2 linked regions of the Oreochromis niloticus genome follow. The protein of the gene in region 2 purifies or fractionates together with the protein of the main gene of each other region. This does not show direct contact. Links are inferred from orthologs where the notes say so. Each region holds a gene or a part of one and is shown on either strand. Other genes may lie near its edges.

Region 1 (7,880 bases), on a different chromosome or scaffold from region 2:
TCCCTGTAACACCATCTAGCCTTTGCAAGAGCAAGAAGTAAAAGTGCAGAATGTGACTTCTACAGCGAGATCTAAAACTCTTAATTAAATTATTGCCCTATCATAACTGGGACAGAGATCACAAGGTAAACATGACTTTGAATGAAAGCAGGCCATTTCTAAACCTTACACACACTTTCCATTTCATAATTTGTTAGAATTAAACGTCCCTGTGGCTCTCCTTTTACCTGTGTTCAAAATTGCATAAACTCAGTCCTACCTGTGCTATCTCTGAACAACTAGGTGTGCATGCATCAGGTACAAATCATGCACCTTGACTCAATGTGGGCTCAATATGGCATCATCCTGCTTTTCTGGTGCTTTCTTTTGTCATTTTCTTAACCATTTACTGAGTAAATCTTAATTACCAGCACATTTCCTGCTTTGTTATTTTATGCATCTTTTTCTCCCCTTGCTTGTTTTTTCTCTCCTTTATGTTAAGGCTAGCTCAGAGCACAAGCAGACTATTCCTAGACTGTGGAGTGTTGAATAAGTGGGGAGGGGAGGGCACTGTGCTGAGGCAATGCATAAAGAAATGAGAGGAGGGAGCTGCAGCACAGTGAACCTGGGGAACCCAGCAACAGAGAGAAACAGACACACAGAGATGGAGCATTATGCAATTGCCATGCAGGCTGCAGTGCACCCTGTCTGGCCCTGGGGGCCGCAGAAGAGAAAGCAGCAGAGAGACAGACACAGTGAAAGAACAAAACGGAGTGCATCACAATAGATAGAGCCCAGGGAATTCAACCTTAATAAACCCCCACAGCGAGAGTCTTTCTCTGGACTTTCAATGCAGGGTGCAAAGGCCTGTGGAGCCTCCAAAATAACGAGAGCACGTCCATGGTGCAGCTCAATCACAGGTAGGGAGGAACGTGACTTAACAACAACACCACACACAACAGTAACTCAGTACTACATAGCAAAGTGAAGGCTTCATAAAGGCAAACATGCTATTAAAGAAAGATGCGAGTGTGTGTGAAACCACTGAGTCCCTGCTGCTGCTGGGGTCCTCAGACTGACTCACCAGCGAAGAGGATCTAACTGGAGCAAACACTGTCTCTGCTGATTGTCTGAGGACTTGACTGGGAGCCTAATCCACTTTTCAAAAAGACCTCTGCATGTTTGAGCCTCGTTAGTATGTATGCATGTTGTTGTTTACTAATATAATACAAACATGCTGTGTGCTAAAACAACGCAGGGTTGAAACAATCTTCACCTTGTTAACAAAGGTTTTGGTCTGTACAACTGTATTTTCATTAAAATTGAGAAGAATAGAAGTAAAGTGCCAAGAAACATTTGTATATTGTTGTATATTTTGTTTATATTTCGCTGCTGAACCAATGAAGAGCTGCTCATCTCTTTCATTCTTTCTGCAACAGTAAGAATAAATAATAACTTGTTCAATCTAAAGCAATCAGAACCCTGCGGAAAATTCACCATCTTCTTTTGGTCAATATAAATAATCTAATGCTTGTGTGTACTTATATATAAATAAAAAAATATTCGCTAACATTTAAATTAAAACACCCTTAGAATTGCCACAAGTCCTTCTACAAAATAAGCTACTTACAAGTCATACTCTGTCAGATTTTAATTAAATTTGTCAATGCATGTTCTAAAACTGTCATCCTACTAATCTCGGCCTCTGAAGACAGAGTCACACTGTGTGTAGCCATGTGTGTAAAATGCACAGCACGACCCAGGCACTCATTTTAAATACAAGAGTTCATCCAGTAGAGCAAAACAGCAGGTCCTCATGTGTGATTGTGACCCCTGACCCCACATAAAGCTGCCACACACACAGACCAACAACATGGTGACATTAAGGCGCAGTCTCAGGTGTCACATCTACTTGAGGGGAACACTTCTGAGAAGCCCTGCTAGCAAACCTGCTATGCTGCCACTTTTAGAAAGCAGCTCAGCTCTCAGCTGAAAACACGTTACAGGGCTGCTGCATCGCACCACGAACATGCAAGCTCAGTTTCGCTCAGGTGCACATTCCCGTTCTGGTGTCAGTTCAGTCTTTACCTGCAACGGTCCCCAAACGCGCAGTTTCCCTTCTGAAAGAATTTGCAAATCATGCTGGCAGGTTTACTGCTGGTCAGGTCATGGGAATATCGACAGTTCTCCCCTTCTTTGCACAGACCGTGCATGAAATATCTGGAAAAACAAAAGAAAATCAAAGTTTACTTAACACATTAAACAGCGCGTTTCCTTTTAGATCCCAGTATCAACGTTAAAAAGCAGCCTGCCAGTCACTTGGATGTAAGCAAATCAAATGCGTGTCGATGTCATCTTTTACTTTCATACTCATAACGCCATCGCGGTCATGTTTAAGGGACCGCGGCGCTAGCTTGGTCCGGATGTGAACCTAGCAGATGATATGACACCGAAAGGCAACAACTAGTTAAAGCCGCTGGTTTAAACGCCGATTAATTTGTTGGTTTTAATGTGAAACTACTGAGAACTGCTAGCTGAGATTAGCTTCAAAGCTTTCGTCGAGGGGCCGCTGTGTGACACTAGCTTTACAGTTCAGCGTTGCCGATCTGATTGTTGAAAGCGTAGCTAGCAGGACGGCGGCTAAACTAGCACACCAGGCTGCTGTGTGACCACAACACAGCGAACATGACAACATCACAGCTAGCTCCGCGAACAGCTGAGCGGACCCTTGAAAGACATTCCCGTCAGTCACTCACAAGCTGCCCTGGCAGCGTTATTCTGGCGTCAAACGACACGGTGTGCCATCGCCGTCTAAATGTGCTAGTTCTATTGTCTTGTCCTACCTGCAGGTTACGTGTTTTGTCCAACCGCCTGTTACTGCTGAAGCCGCCGTTGACGCTGCTGCTGCCTCCGCCATTGCTGTTTATGTTGAGAAGCTACAGCCGGATGTTCCGGACAGTTTCGCTCGAGCTCGGCATCTTTCGTTTGTGGACAATTTAAGTCGAAGTTTACCGAAAACCCGTCTCCGTGCAGACCGCTGTCCACTACGCGGCACCGTTGGCACACACTGTGAGGAGCAGACCCGCAGTGGGTTAGATGTGCAACCTTCTAAATAATCAGGATCAGTTGAAGCAAGCATCATTTCTATTAATCATGAAGAAGAACCAGGCTCGGAAGGTTCCATCAAATATTTGTGTCTGTCTGATATCATTCAATTTAACAACACAAACGTTTTAGAACACCCCAAGTTTTTTTTTATTGAAAATTATGCAGTTTAATGTCTCATTTTCCTCTGAAATGAAAGCATGGTACAAATACGCAACTGGAGTTAAAAAATAAATCATGAAATCAATTTATGAACCAAAATATCTTCTAAACTTTTGACTCATCAAAGTAGCCCCCTTTGGCAGATACCAGAATCGACACTCCACATCAGTTGGTGGCGCTAATGCACCATTTTGCTGTTTGCCAACCGCCAATAAGCAATATAAAGACGAAGAATCAGCGAAACCTTCTTAGTCCCAGAGGGAAATTTAGTTGTCATTGCAGGAAATACACAAGAAACATCAAGCACTCACATAAAATGAGCGTAGAAACAGAGATATTGATATAGGTATGAATATAAATATAAAAGGACAAATATATGTTGTGGTGTATAAAGTGACAGGGTGCACTGAGGTGTGATTCATTCTGTTCCACATGTGTGGACTGGTGGGAGGGTCATGGTCCATTATCCACAGCAGATCTCACAGCTGAACACGCCCGTGGCATTCCTTCTACAATAGAAATCACCTTTGTCACCGTTCAAGCTTTCATGATCAAAATGCTCACATGTTTTGGTCACAATTAGCTTCACTGAAAACAAAAAAGCTGAAGAACACAAGTTTAGATTTCTTTAAGTTGTCATGGTCATGGCAGAATGTCTTGAGACAACTTCATTTTAAAGCTTTAGTCACTTCCTCCCCAGCTTGCCCACCTGATGCCCGTGTCCCACCCAGCCCTGCCAGGTTGGCCGCCCACAGCCTAAGCAACAAGATAAAAATCAAAGTCTTTACCACTGACTATGTTAGGTTCTTTTTAGCGTCATGAGTTGGTAATGTGTTTATTACCAATATATTTATACCATTAAACAAAGAAATCTAACACAATGAACAGAGTAAGTGGTAAAGCATCACCCGGTTACAAGAATCAGATTCATTCATTCTTACCCTGTCAAACTTTATTCTTCATTTCCCCTTTCTCTACTTCCACTTTCTTGGAATTAGAGAAAAAAGTGTTGTAAAAGTGTTCGGTTACCATTAATGTGCTGTTTGTAAGTTTCCGGGTAATTTTTTTTAAGGTTGCAAGGCTAAGACAAGTGGCATTTTTAGTTGTGTTATTATGCAGTGTTTCTGATAATTACACTTCTGTCGCTGTAGAGAAAAATATATATATTTATATATACAATATATTTGTTTCAGCCTTTTATCCATCCAATGAACAGAGACAGTTTATGTTCAACACCAAACCTCTGCAGGTCGCTGCACAAACACAACAGCTAGCATCAGGTTACAGCCTTAAAACTGCGTATCAGATTCATTTGCCCACACAGTTCCCTCTGTAGACCAACAGGATGTATTCACTGTCATTGACTGTCAGTGGGAAGTTGTGCCTGAACAATTAAGCTCTCAGCCACAAACTACAAATAGCAGAGTTTCTATGGGGCCGTGAGGTGAGACCGCCATAAGAGGAAAACTAAACCCAACCATAATGTGTCAGTGTAAACAACATTACCGAAGAAGAGAGTTTCCTTTTCTCCAACTAGAAAAATCTGGACTAAAATAATCATAACAATCACAAAAATAGAAATCTTTGAAATGTCCATACTGCTAATACAATCATCAACATTTTTGGTTGTTTGAGAAGATTTGATAATGTAGAAAACACAAAATACAGCTGAGGCTGATGGGAACAGCATGAGTCTGCATGCATTTGGCTACAAACCACTTTATAGGGCAAATTAAGGATTTGGCTCAGTTTATTTTTATAGAGTCAATTCAAAACAGTCTTTACCTCGAGACATTTGATACGTGGAGGTGATACGCAGGACTAAAATACTGCTCACGTAAATGCAAAATTTCAATTCAATTCAATTCAATCTTTATTGGCAGACTTCATGTCCATAAAAACAAGACAGAAACACACAACACCCCCCCCCAACACAAGGTATAAACCATTAAATATATATATATATATATATATATATATATATATATATATATATATATATATATACATATATATATATATATATATATATATATATATAAACACCCAGCACGCCCCTGCGGGCGGTTTATCCTTCAAGCTCGGGTCCTCTACCAGAGGCCTGGGAGCTTGAGGGTCCTGCGCAGTATCTTAGCTGTTCCCAGGACTGTGCTCTTCTGGACAGAGATCTCCGATGTTGTTCCCGAGATCTGCTGGAGCCACTCGCCTAGCTTGGGAGCCACCGCACCTAGTGCTCCGATTACCACGGGGACCACCGTTACCTTCACCCTCCACATCCTCTCGAGCTCTTCTCTGAGCCCTTGGTATTTCTCCAGCTTCTCGTGTTCCTTCTTCCTGATATTGCTGTCATTCGGAACCGCTACATCGATCACTACAGCCGTCTTCTTCTGTTTGTCTACCACCACTATGTCCGGTTGGTTAGCCACCACCATTTTGTCCGTCTGCATCTGGAAGTCCCACAGGATCTTAGCTCGGTCATTCTCCATCACCCTTGGGGGCATCTCCCATTTTGACCTCGGGACTTCCAGGTTATACTCGGCACAGATGTTCCTGTACACTATGCCGGCCACTTGGTTATGGCGTTCCATGTATGCCTTGCCTGCTAGCATCTTGCACCCTGCTGTTATGTGCTGGATTGTCTCAGGGGGATCTTTACATAGCCTGCACCTGGGGTCTTGCCTGGTGTGATAGACCCCAGCCTCTATGGATCTTGTGCTCAGAGCTTGTTCTTGTGCTGCCATGATTAGTGCCTCTGTGCTGTCTTTCAGTCCAGCTTTGTCCAGCCACTGGTAGGATTTCTGGATATCAGCCACCTCCTCTATCTGCCGGTGGTACATACCGTGCAGGGGCCTGTCCTTCCATGATGGTTCCTCGCCTTCCTCCTCTTTCTTGGGTTTCTGCTGCCTGAGGTATTCACTGAGCACGCTGTCAGTTGGGGCCATCTTCGTGATGTATTCGTGGATGTTTCTTGTCTCATCCTGGACTGTGGTGCTGACACTCACCAGTCCCCGGCCCCCTTCCTTCCGCTTAGCGTACAGCCTCAGGGTGCTGGACTTGGGGTGAAACCCTCCATGCATGGTAAGGAGCTTTCTTGTCTTTATGTCAGTGGGGGGAAAGCTTGTGGGCCTCGGCAGCAGTAAAGCTAGCCGCTGCTAGTGACAGGGTGAGCTTGTGGGCCCCTGGAAGTGCCTCCTCGTGGTGTGGAGTTTGTGTTTGGTTGTGTTCTTTGTTGTTGCAACCTTTTCCTTTTTCTAAGTGTTATTGGTCAAACGGCGTTGCCGGCTCTTTATGTTAAGATTATTTATAATAAAGACTATTTTATTTACTAAAAGCACCTGTCTGTTGTCCTTTCATTCTGTTCTGGACTCATTTGTTACTGGTCCCCTCACTCGCACGCCTAGACCCCTTCGGGGGGAACGTAACAATGTGGGGGCTCGTCCGGGATACATTCGTCAGGCTTCGCTGGAGGGTCCGAGGGACCGCTTCAGCATTCCGTCTTCACTGGAGGGTCCGAGGGCCGCTTCAGCCATTCGTCTTCGCTGGAGGGTCCAAGGGACCTGTCCAGCCTTCATTCGTCTCCACTGGAGGGTCCGAGGGGCCTGTCCAGCCTTCATTCGTCTCCGCTGGAGGGGTCCAAGGGGCCTGTCCAGCCAACATTCGTCTTCGCTGGAGGGTCCGAGGGGCCTGTCCAGCCTTCGTCCGTCTCCGCTGGAGGGTCCGAGGGACCGCTTCAGCATTCGTCCGTCTTCGCTGGAGGGGTCCAAGGGGCCTGTCCAGCCAACATTCGTCTTCGCTGGAGGGTCCGAGGGACCGCTTCAGCCTTCCGTCTCCACTGGAGGGTCCGGAGGACCGCTTCAGCATTCCGTCTTCGCTGGAGGGTCCAAGGGGCCTGTCCAGCCTTCATCCGTCTCCGCTGGAGGGTCCGAGGGACCGCTTCAGCCTTCATCCGTTTCCGCTGGAGGGTCCGAGGGACCGCTTCAGCCTTCATTCGTTTCAGCTGGAGGGTCCGGAGGACCGCTTCAGCATTCCGTCTTCGCTGGAGGGTCCAAGGGCCTGTCCAGCCTTCGTCCGTCTCCGCTGGAGGATCCGAGGGACCGCTTCAGCATTTGTCTGCCTTCGCTGGAGGGTCCCGAGGGACCGCTTCAGCATTCGTCTCCGCTGGAGGGTCCAAGGGGCCTGTCCAGCATTCATTCGTCTCCGCTGGAGGGTCCAAGGGGCCTGTCCAGCCTTCATTCGTCTCCGCTGGAGGGTCCGAGGGATCGCTTCAGCATTCCGTCATCGCTGGAGGGTCCGAGGGACCGCTTCAGCATTCCGTCGTCGCTGGAGGGTCCGAGGGACCGCTTCAGCATTCCGTCGTCGCTGGAGGGTCCGAGGGACCGCTTCAGCCTTCCGTCTCCGCTGGAGGGTCCAAGGGGCCTGTCCAGCCATCATTCGTCTTCGCTGGAGGGTCCGGAGGACCGCTTCAGCATTCTGTTTCAGCTGGAGGGTCCGAGGGGCCTGTCCAGCCTTCATTCGTCTCCGCTAGAGGGGTCCAAGGGGCCTGTCCAGCCAACATTCGTCTTCGCTGGAGGGTCCGAGGGGCCTGTCCAGCCTTCGTCCGTCTCCGCTGGAGGGTCCGAGGGGCCTGTCCAGCC
Region 2 (8,032 bases):
TGTTGCCAAAGGCAGAGAAGGTGTCATACAGGGCTTTGTTGTCAATGGACTTGTCGAGGTTCTTGATAAAAACATTGCCCACACCCGACTTCCTGAGGGAGGGATCTCTTTGGGACCACATGATTCTGATCGGCTTTCCTTTCACCACATCAAAATTCATGGTGTCCAGAGCTCTTTCAGCTGCCGGAGGAAGAGCAGAGAGGTCACAGGAAAGGTCCCTGGTGGTTATTTACACATCAGTCATGCTTCGGTCTGTTATCTGCTGATACCATGCAACAATAATAGCGCAGCCATTTTTAACACGTGCACTATAATAATAAAAGAGAAAAACAGTTTAAATGCTTTAAAACAGGCCGTTAACATGTCCAAAGGGGTGAAGGTACTGCAGCAGACAATGAGGCTGATGAGCTTTCTGCAAGCAGCTGGGAAAAGTGTGGGGGGCAGCTGCAGTGGGCTAGCTTGGAGCACATGTCTCCCTGTTCTGATTAACCACATGCTGCTGAGCCACATGCCACTTAGCAATGCAGCAGGCCTTCATTTAAACACTATCAGAATATCAGCTCATGTGGTTGAGATGAGCAGTATTATGTTTGCATTGACCTTTATTCTGTGATCTGTAGGCCCAGGCAAATGCACACTTTCCCCCCCTCACACATCATGTGGGCACATGCCAAACATCCTTTTGTTCACACACACACACACACGCACACACACGCACGCACACACACACGGCTTTCCAGCTGAAAGTGTCTGGTAAACAAAGCGGAGCTGCCTTGCGTCTGCTGGCATCAGCAGTTTGGTTTGCAATTGTACTTCACAACCTGTGCGCTCAGGGAAGGTGTGCGGTCACTGTCAAAAAACGGGGACTTCGGGAAGGTTCAGAGTTGGAAACTTTATTCAAAAAAGGCCAAAGTGACCTCTGTTGTGCCCTCATATATCAAATGTGTCGTTTAGAAGAGAAAATAGAGCCATCAATGGTCTTGAATTACCCATTATTGTTAACCACTTTTTATTTAAGCATTACGGAGCAGGCACGTTTTGGGCTGCACAGGGGGAAGCTATATTTAGAGAGGGGCCCTGAGAGGTATGTGCTGGCATGGAGTATGAGTAGAGCATTCTCTACCACTGATGGGGAAGAGACAAGTTTAAAAAGAATGCTCAGAAGAGCGACACCCGGGTTTGTGTTTGTTTACAGATACAACTGTGACATTAAGAAATCCAGCAGGGAGCACAGCGAAGCATGAAGACCGCTCTGTTTCATATGAAACACTCTTTACTAACAACTGCTTTGTTATAGGTTTGCATTAGTAGCTGTATTGTTCAGGCACAAAGCTACTGCCCCACAGACACGTGCTCAGGACTCCATTTAAATGTCCAACAGCCAACACCCCCTCCCCCCTGGTGTCTACACTCTTGTAACAAATGGTGTCTTCTAACTTTTGGCTCTTCTCACGTTTGTAACGGAATGATATCCTGGAAGCGAGCCACTTGTAACCTCTCCTTTACTTTGGCTTTTGGTAACTGACTCGAGCGCAGATAAGCTGTGACAGGTGTTTTTTGTTGATAGGACAAACAGTGTCAGCGGGCCCCAAAGAGAACCACAACACCTGCTACCTTTGCTCAGTGCTTTGATACTCCTGCATTGTAACTGGAAACAGTTTTATCACATAAGGTACTTAACAACATTGCTGATACGGTTACATATACGTTCACTTTTGTGTATCATGACAGATTAACAGCTTTAAGTGGTGAGGATATAACACATAACCCAACAGTGTGAGTGAACTAATCCAGCTATTAAAGCTGGGATTAAATTCAAATAGAAACAGGATCAGATTTTTCCATTTGAATCTGCAGTGAATTTACACACAACCAGCAGCACAAACAAGCAACAAGCAGTGCAGCGGGCTCAGCTGTGCTTGTCTCTTTCATGCCTTCAGTGAACATGCCAGCAGAGGGCAATGGGAGTTAGTTTCACTCAACTCATTGGCCCTTTAAATAGGCACAGAAATGGGTCATTTTGGTTTTTAAAAAGGTGTAGGAAAAGACTTCATATACCCAAATCTAGGCCTGTGATTTATGGGGATGGTTTGTTGATTTTGGCCAACTTTTAAGGACAGTTTAAACTCTGCATGTTCTGGGGGCTTGAATTACATTAGAGACACACACAGGCTGCTATATTACCAACCATACTCCAGAACTGGGACGTGCTTATGTAGGTCAAATAACTGATCCAATCTAAAGAACTGCTATGAACAATTCAGACTGCAAAATTAACATTAACCAAATTTATTTGCGTTCATTTCGGGCTCTGTAAACGGTTTCAACAGCAGACTGGAAACGCATTACTACTATGTCAACATTTTCACGCCTTGTGGAGGCAACGTGCTCACACAGCACAGCTATCCCATCCCTGCTTACCGTCAGCCGGCTGTGAGAAGTTCACATAAGCGTATCCCAGGGACCGCCGGGTGATCATGTCTCGGCAGACCCGAATGGAGAGCACCGGTCCGGCTGGGCTGAATTTCTCGTACAGCATAGCCTCCGTGATGTCGGGGTGCAGGTCGCCAACGTAGAGAGAAGCCATCGGATAACTCCCCGTCGCTGTGTTCATATCGCTGATTTCAGAGGATAAACGCAAGGCTTCGTTTTAAAAACGCTAGAAAAATGTCGGTATGGTCTGTAATCCGGATCCAAACTGCGCTTTGGTTTAAAGACGCTGCACAGACAGCTGATCGGGCGTTTTGAAAATGCCAAACCTGGAAAAAGCAGCGCGATAAAGACCGGTGTCTTCTGAAGTGTTTCCTTTAAAAAAGACGACAACTTCGAGTTAAGCCGGAGGCCTGATGTTTATGTTTTTTTAAAATAATATTTTGCTATTTTTTTAAAAGGTTTCTATTTCTTTAAGTAGATCTGCACTTTTTAAGATTTTGTGGATTTTATATTTTTTATATTATTTTTATTTTAAGTTTTTCAGGAACAGTGAGTTGGGCACTCACGGTTGTTTTGTGGCCGGGGAAAGAGACTGCGGGGGGGAAGCATGGGCACTTTATAGAGAGTGACGGTGCGGAGGAAATAGTGGCCAGGGTCAAACTTGGGGTAGAAAAAACACTGAGCATGCGGCGTAAAAGGGAGAGCGCACATGGTACTGTCCCAACTACAGCGCCCAGCTCCCTACAGCGACATCTGGGTGGGAATACAAGCCTTTCACTGTAGCCAGGATGGAGCGTTTTATAAACAGGCTTTAAAAATAAATAAATAAATGTGATGCGCTAATGAGCACCGGTGGCGAAATGTTGTGAATGAGTATGTCTGCCTTATTTAGTCGGCAGTGTCATTTAAAAAAAAAAAAGAGAAAAAGAAAAAAGGATGCGACTTGTATTTCAGGCTTTCGCTGCTATGACGCCAGGTCTCTCTTGGAAATGAGATTTTTACCTGGATAAATAAAGGACTAATAAAAATATAACTTTTATTTAAAAAAGCAAAAGTAATGAGATCAGATTAGTGTACATCAGTTTTATTTATCTCAAGTACAAGTTTAAAGTAAGCCGTGGTTATTCTGCATTCTTCATCCTCCTGAGGAAAAAAAAAAAAAAAAAAGAAGACAATTAAATCAGCCATCTTCACATGCATTAAACAGTCTGCCGGCTAACTGCAAACAAGTCATTTACCACAACAAATTCAAGAAAGTTGATTGCAGCCCCTTTAGTTTCAACTGTTTTCTTTCCACTGGACTTTTCTTCTGCACCACTGCCTCTTCCTCATAACTCAGCGTCTGCAACCCATCAGCAGCTTTGGAAAAGGTGAGTTTGGAGCGTGTTATTGGTGGGATTTCATGTGTTCCTTCAGGCATCACAGCACCATCGGTCAGCATCTGGGGCAGGTCATCACGGTTTGGGTGCTTAATCTCATTCTGCAGCCATTTTTCACTTTGGGATTCCTCTACGGCAGCTGTCTTGTCCAATTCTGCTGGATTTGGCCCTTTAATCAGCATAAGGTACTTTACACTAATCTCAGCTGGCAGAGAAAAGTCAACCGGTTCCTCTTTGCTGTCAAAGTTCCCAGATCTTCCAGACCGGCTTTTTCTTTTCAAGTCCTCTGGAATTGCTGGTTGTGGAGGAATCTTCCACCTGTTAACCATAATTGGCAAATTCATAGTTGATGGAGAAAGACTACTGAAACTTTGACCTTTGATCTCATTGGTTGGATTCAGATGAGGTTCATGATCTGTGGTTGAAGAACGCAGTGTGGGAGTGTCATTCGAGTCAGACTGAGGAGGCACCTGTTCAGGTAGCCAAAGCGTCAGCCTGGTGGCAGGGTCCTGACTCACAACCACTACACCCTCTGGGCCAGCATTGAATTTGCTTCTTGGAATAGAAGCAGCAGAAACTATCACATCAGCAGGATCTGGAAGAGCAGACTGCATGGAGTTTGGGATGTTAGCAGTTTCTTGTTCGGAGACTGAAGGCAGAGGAGTTCTCTCACCATCTTCATCGACAATGACAAAGGGACCAGTGCTGACCATAGCTTTGGCATCTGAAACGACATGCATGCAGCAAGTCAGTTCTAAAGTTTATTTCTGTCTTCCATCACCTTCAGACAGAAAACCAAAACACTCACCACCAGGACGGTTTTTGCCTTTACACCTTGAGCTACAGCACTCACATGCCTCCAAATCACCACTTAGTTCCTCCCATCTGAAAGGAAAGTTTCATTTATAGGACATTTGAAAAAGAAAGAAACAAATACATTATGTGAATATTGATACCTTGATTCAATCACATTGTAGTTGCAGGATTTAGAGCCAGGGGTGACACCTTGGCCTGAGATCAGCACGCTACAGTGGATATACAACTTGTAGAGAAGAGTACACAAGTCAGTTCAGAGCTGCACATCAGTGAAATCAGTTTCGAGAGACTTACCTCAGAAATGAGATAAGACGTGTTCAGAACAAAATTAACCGCATCTGCTGTGTTGGAGGCTACAAACGTCACTATAGTAGTGGAGGAACCCAGTGGGGTTACGCACCTGCAGAAAGCAGTGATATCACAGGCGATTAGAAGGTTAGACATAACAAAAACAGTTGAGGTAAACCCCCAACTGAAAACTTACCCTTTGTTAAATATGACTCTTTGCCTTGGTTTGGCCCGAGGCTCAGGGAACACAGAGACAAAGCAGGACTTGATGAAAACCTGTTGATTTGTTCCGGTTTTAGCCAAAACCTGAAGATTGACAGCCTGGCCTCTTTTGTAGACATTTGACTGTGCTGCGCTCGTCCAGGACGCTGCAGGAAAGAACTGCGTTTACAAATTAAGCTGCAGCTAAAACATGACGTTGGATGAGTTTTATTACTTACGACTCATGGCTTTGATGCTAATGTCATCATTTTCAGGAAGCGTTGTGTCGCTAAACTTTGGCATATTTTTCAACCTGTAAATACATGGACCTACTGTAAGTAGGGTTGGTGACTAGCTGCAGACATTGAAGTAACAGCACACCTTTTTGCAACACAGAACACGTGGACTGCAGAGGGAGTTTTCCACCAGGTGGGAGAAATTCTTCTTAGATTCAAGAACAGGGTGTTGGTGAACACCTCCAAGTCGTCCTCCACCTGTAAGATGGTGCAGTTTTGGTAAAGGCTTCATAAAAAGATGCAGAACTGCAACAGAACTTTATTCTCACCATAGGTGCAGTTCCACATTCATCAAAACCATAAGTGAAGACAAATTCATTTGCAAGCTCTCCATTGCTGAAGCAGCCATTGCCCAGCTGTATTTCCTCTCCAGTCAGTTTGAGACCACCGACACTCTTATCAACCAGCACGGTTAGTGTCGATGCATCACAATACACCTGTACTCTGGGAACATTGAGGAAGGGAGAGAGTCCAGCTAGCCTGTGAAAGTCAGGGCTCCAGGATCGCCAGGAGCTGAAGATTGTGTCTTGCGGAGTAAAATCAAAGTTTCTTCCAAATGAAAAAGGCACTCGATTTTCATAAACTCCCACAAAATCCTGGGTGAATCTGCCATTGTGATACAGAACAGACTGAACAGCAATAAAACAACTAAGAAGCACACAAAGAGATATCTGCATGGTCCCCATCATGAGCCCCAAACTGGACCAACAATTCAGATCATTCTCCTGTGACAAGTGCGTTATTAATAAGGTGCAGCGATAGTGGAGACAGGTGCTGGCAATCAAGCCAATGAAGCTGACTCAAAATGATTCTGTATTCAATGTTAACACCACGGCAGCTGGATGGGACGCATCTAAGATGCTGTTAGTGAAAAATGCAAAATAAAATGAAGCAAAATGTGTATTTTGTTCACATTTGTGGTTGTTCAGAACTTGGTTTTAGAAATCACTCCACTGAAGGCCCAACCAGCTGCTGTTTAAACCTGTTCTTGAGAGCTATTCCATAAAGGCATAAAGACAGGGTGGCTTTATATGGAGACGAGCTAAAAACAGCTTGTTTCAGACAGAGGGACACTGAAGAGCTGCACCAAGATAAGATAACCTTTATTAGTCCCACACATGGGAAATTTGTTAGGGCCCCAGTTTACCAAGGCCCAGTTTAAGATAAATCAGGATTATATGGAACTGTAAATTATGAAAAACTGTTTTAGTAGACTCCAAACACAAAAAATATGGTGCTGGATATAAGAATTATGCCTGTTTGTAAGGTGTTTGTGGGCTTGGTGACAACATGAAAACTTGAAGGTTAAGTTTTCTGGCAGGCCATTCCTCGGCTACAATCTGAACAAACCAAAAGCTGTGAAAACTTGGATAGTTTGGGTTAATCTAATTTCTACAAGTAGACAAAATAACACCAAAAAACTTGCATTTATGTTATAGTATTTTCTTAGGCAACAATCTTCAAAATTATATATTTCTATTAAGTAGATGAAAGACATGTAATTTAACTCTGGCTCTTCTTCTATGTTGAGCAAACCTTGAGATTTAAGTTTTAAGATTACATGTGTTAGATGTGTGTAGTCACACATGGCAGAAAACAAAATCACACTATAATTCTGGAATACTTTCAGGGAATGAAAGGAGCTGAAGGATAGCACAAAAGAGGAAATTGGTTATAAATGATTAAAGAAAGACATAAACAGGAGCACACCACCTTCTGCCTCATCTAGGTGGAGCCATTGTCAAAAAGCTGACTAAAGGAGACTTGGGTGCATGATGCTTGCACCTAAAGGCCAGGCAAGTCATGCATGGCAGGCGCGTAACCCAGATTAACTGAGAACTCATGAGATGGCTGTCAGATAAGGACGTTGTTTGTTACAAGGTAAAAATAATTGCTTGCTATTTTGAATTTAGGGCACTGAATGTGGTTTTTAATTTGAGATTTCTAAATCTCAAATTTAGAAATGTGACTAATTCCCCACTGATGCTGGTTGTGAACAGACGAGTGTCTGCTTTTTGTTTTAACAGCCGATTAATCGATTAAGACCCACTGAATACAGAGCATTTGCCCAACACTTTGTTCTTTTATTTGACACTGGTATTGTTGTGATTGTGCAAAGTAAGGAAATTTTGACATTTGTAACATAGGTCTCTCCCCAGCAATATAAGGCTCGAGCAGGCAAATGCAGTACTGTGCAAAAATCTTGAGCCTCCCTCATTTCTTTACATTTAGCTTCCAAAGAGACATTTTTTTCCACTGGGTTTTCTGGAGGTCTTTCAAAGGTTTTCTTTGAACATTGGCTGCGTTTTCACTCATTTTCAGTCCCGTCCTTGTACCTGACAATTTTTGGAAGAGTGTTTGGTTGTTTTTGTTTTGTGTTTTACATTTGTTAAGACACTTAACACTGACATATGAGTCACTTAATCATTAAAAAGGGATTTAACTCATAGGAACCAGTTTTTTGTCTACACATAACAGACACGTTAGAACAAAAAAACAAAAACAAATTTAAATTGTAACTTTCGGCTCTTTGTCTTAAAGAATTTTACAGATTGTTCCCATTTCTTTAGTAGAATCTCCGTCAGAGATAAAATATATTCACAGGCATGAAATATTACT

Evidence for each region.
Region 1: the proteins of pabpc4 (region 2) and mkrn1 purify together in Homo sapiens (affinity purification with mass spectrometry; 3 studies listed by BioGRID and IntAct, with this or other methods). This does not show direct contact. The link is inferred for Oreochromis niloticus from reciprocal best matches to the Homo sapiens genes PABPC4 and MKRN1.

What each region holds. Positions count from the first base shown.
Region 1 is NC_031981.2:931,495-939,374, forward strand, and holds the start of mkrn1 (putative E3 ubiquitin-protein ligase makorin-1), read right to left. Parts: upstream 3,050-7,880; 5' UTR 2,897-3,049; coding exon 2,823-2,896; intron 2,200-2,822; coding exon 2,068-2,199; intron 1-2,067. UniProt on the Homo sapiens protein: E3 ubiquitin ligase catalyzing the covalent attachment of ubiquitin moieties onto substrate proteins. These substrates include FILIP1, p53/TP53, CDKN1A and TERT.
Region 2 is NC_031983.2:27,564,440-27,572,471, reverse strand, and holds the start of pabpc4 (polyadenylate-binding protein 4), read right to left. Parts: upstream 3,037-8,032; 5' UTR 2,615-3,036; coding exon 2,422-2,614; intron 181-2,421; coding exon 1-180. Other genes in the region: zpcx (zona pellucida protein C), read right to left, coding at 3,555-3,576, 3,672-4,536, 4,621-4,697, 4,769-4,854, 4,923-5,028, 5,113-5,284, 5,357-5,430, 5,499-5,611 and 1 more.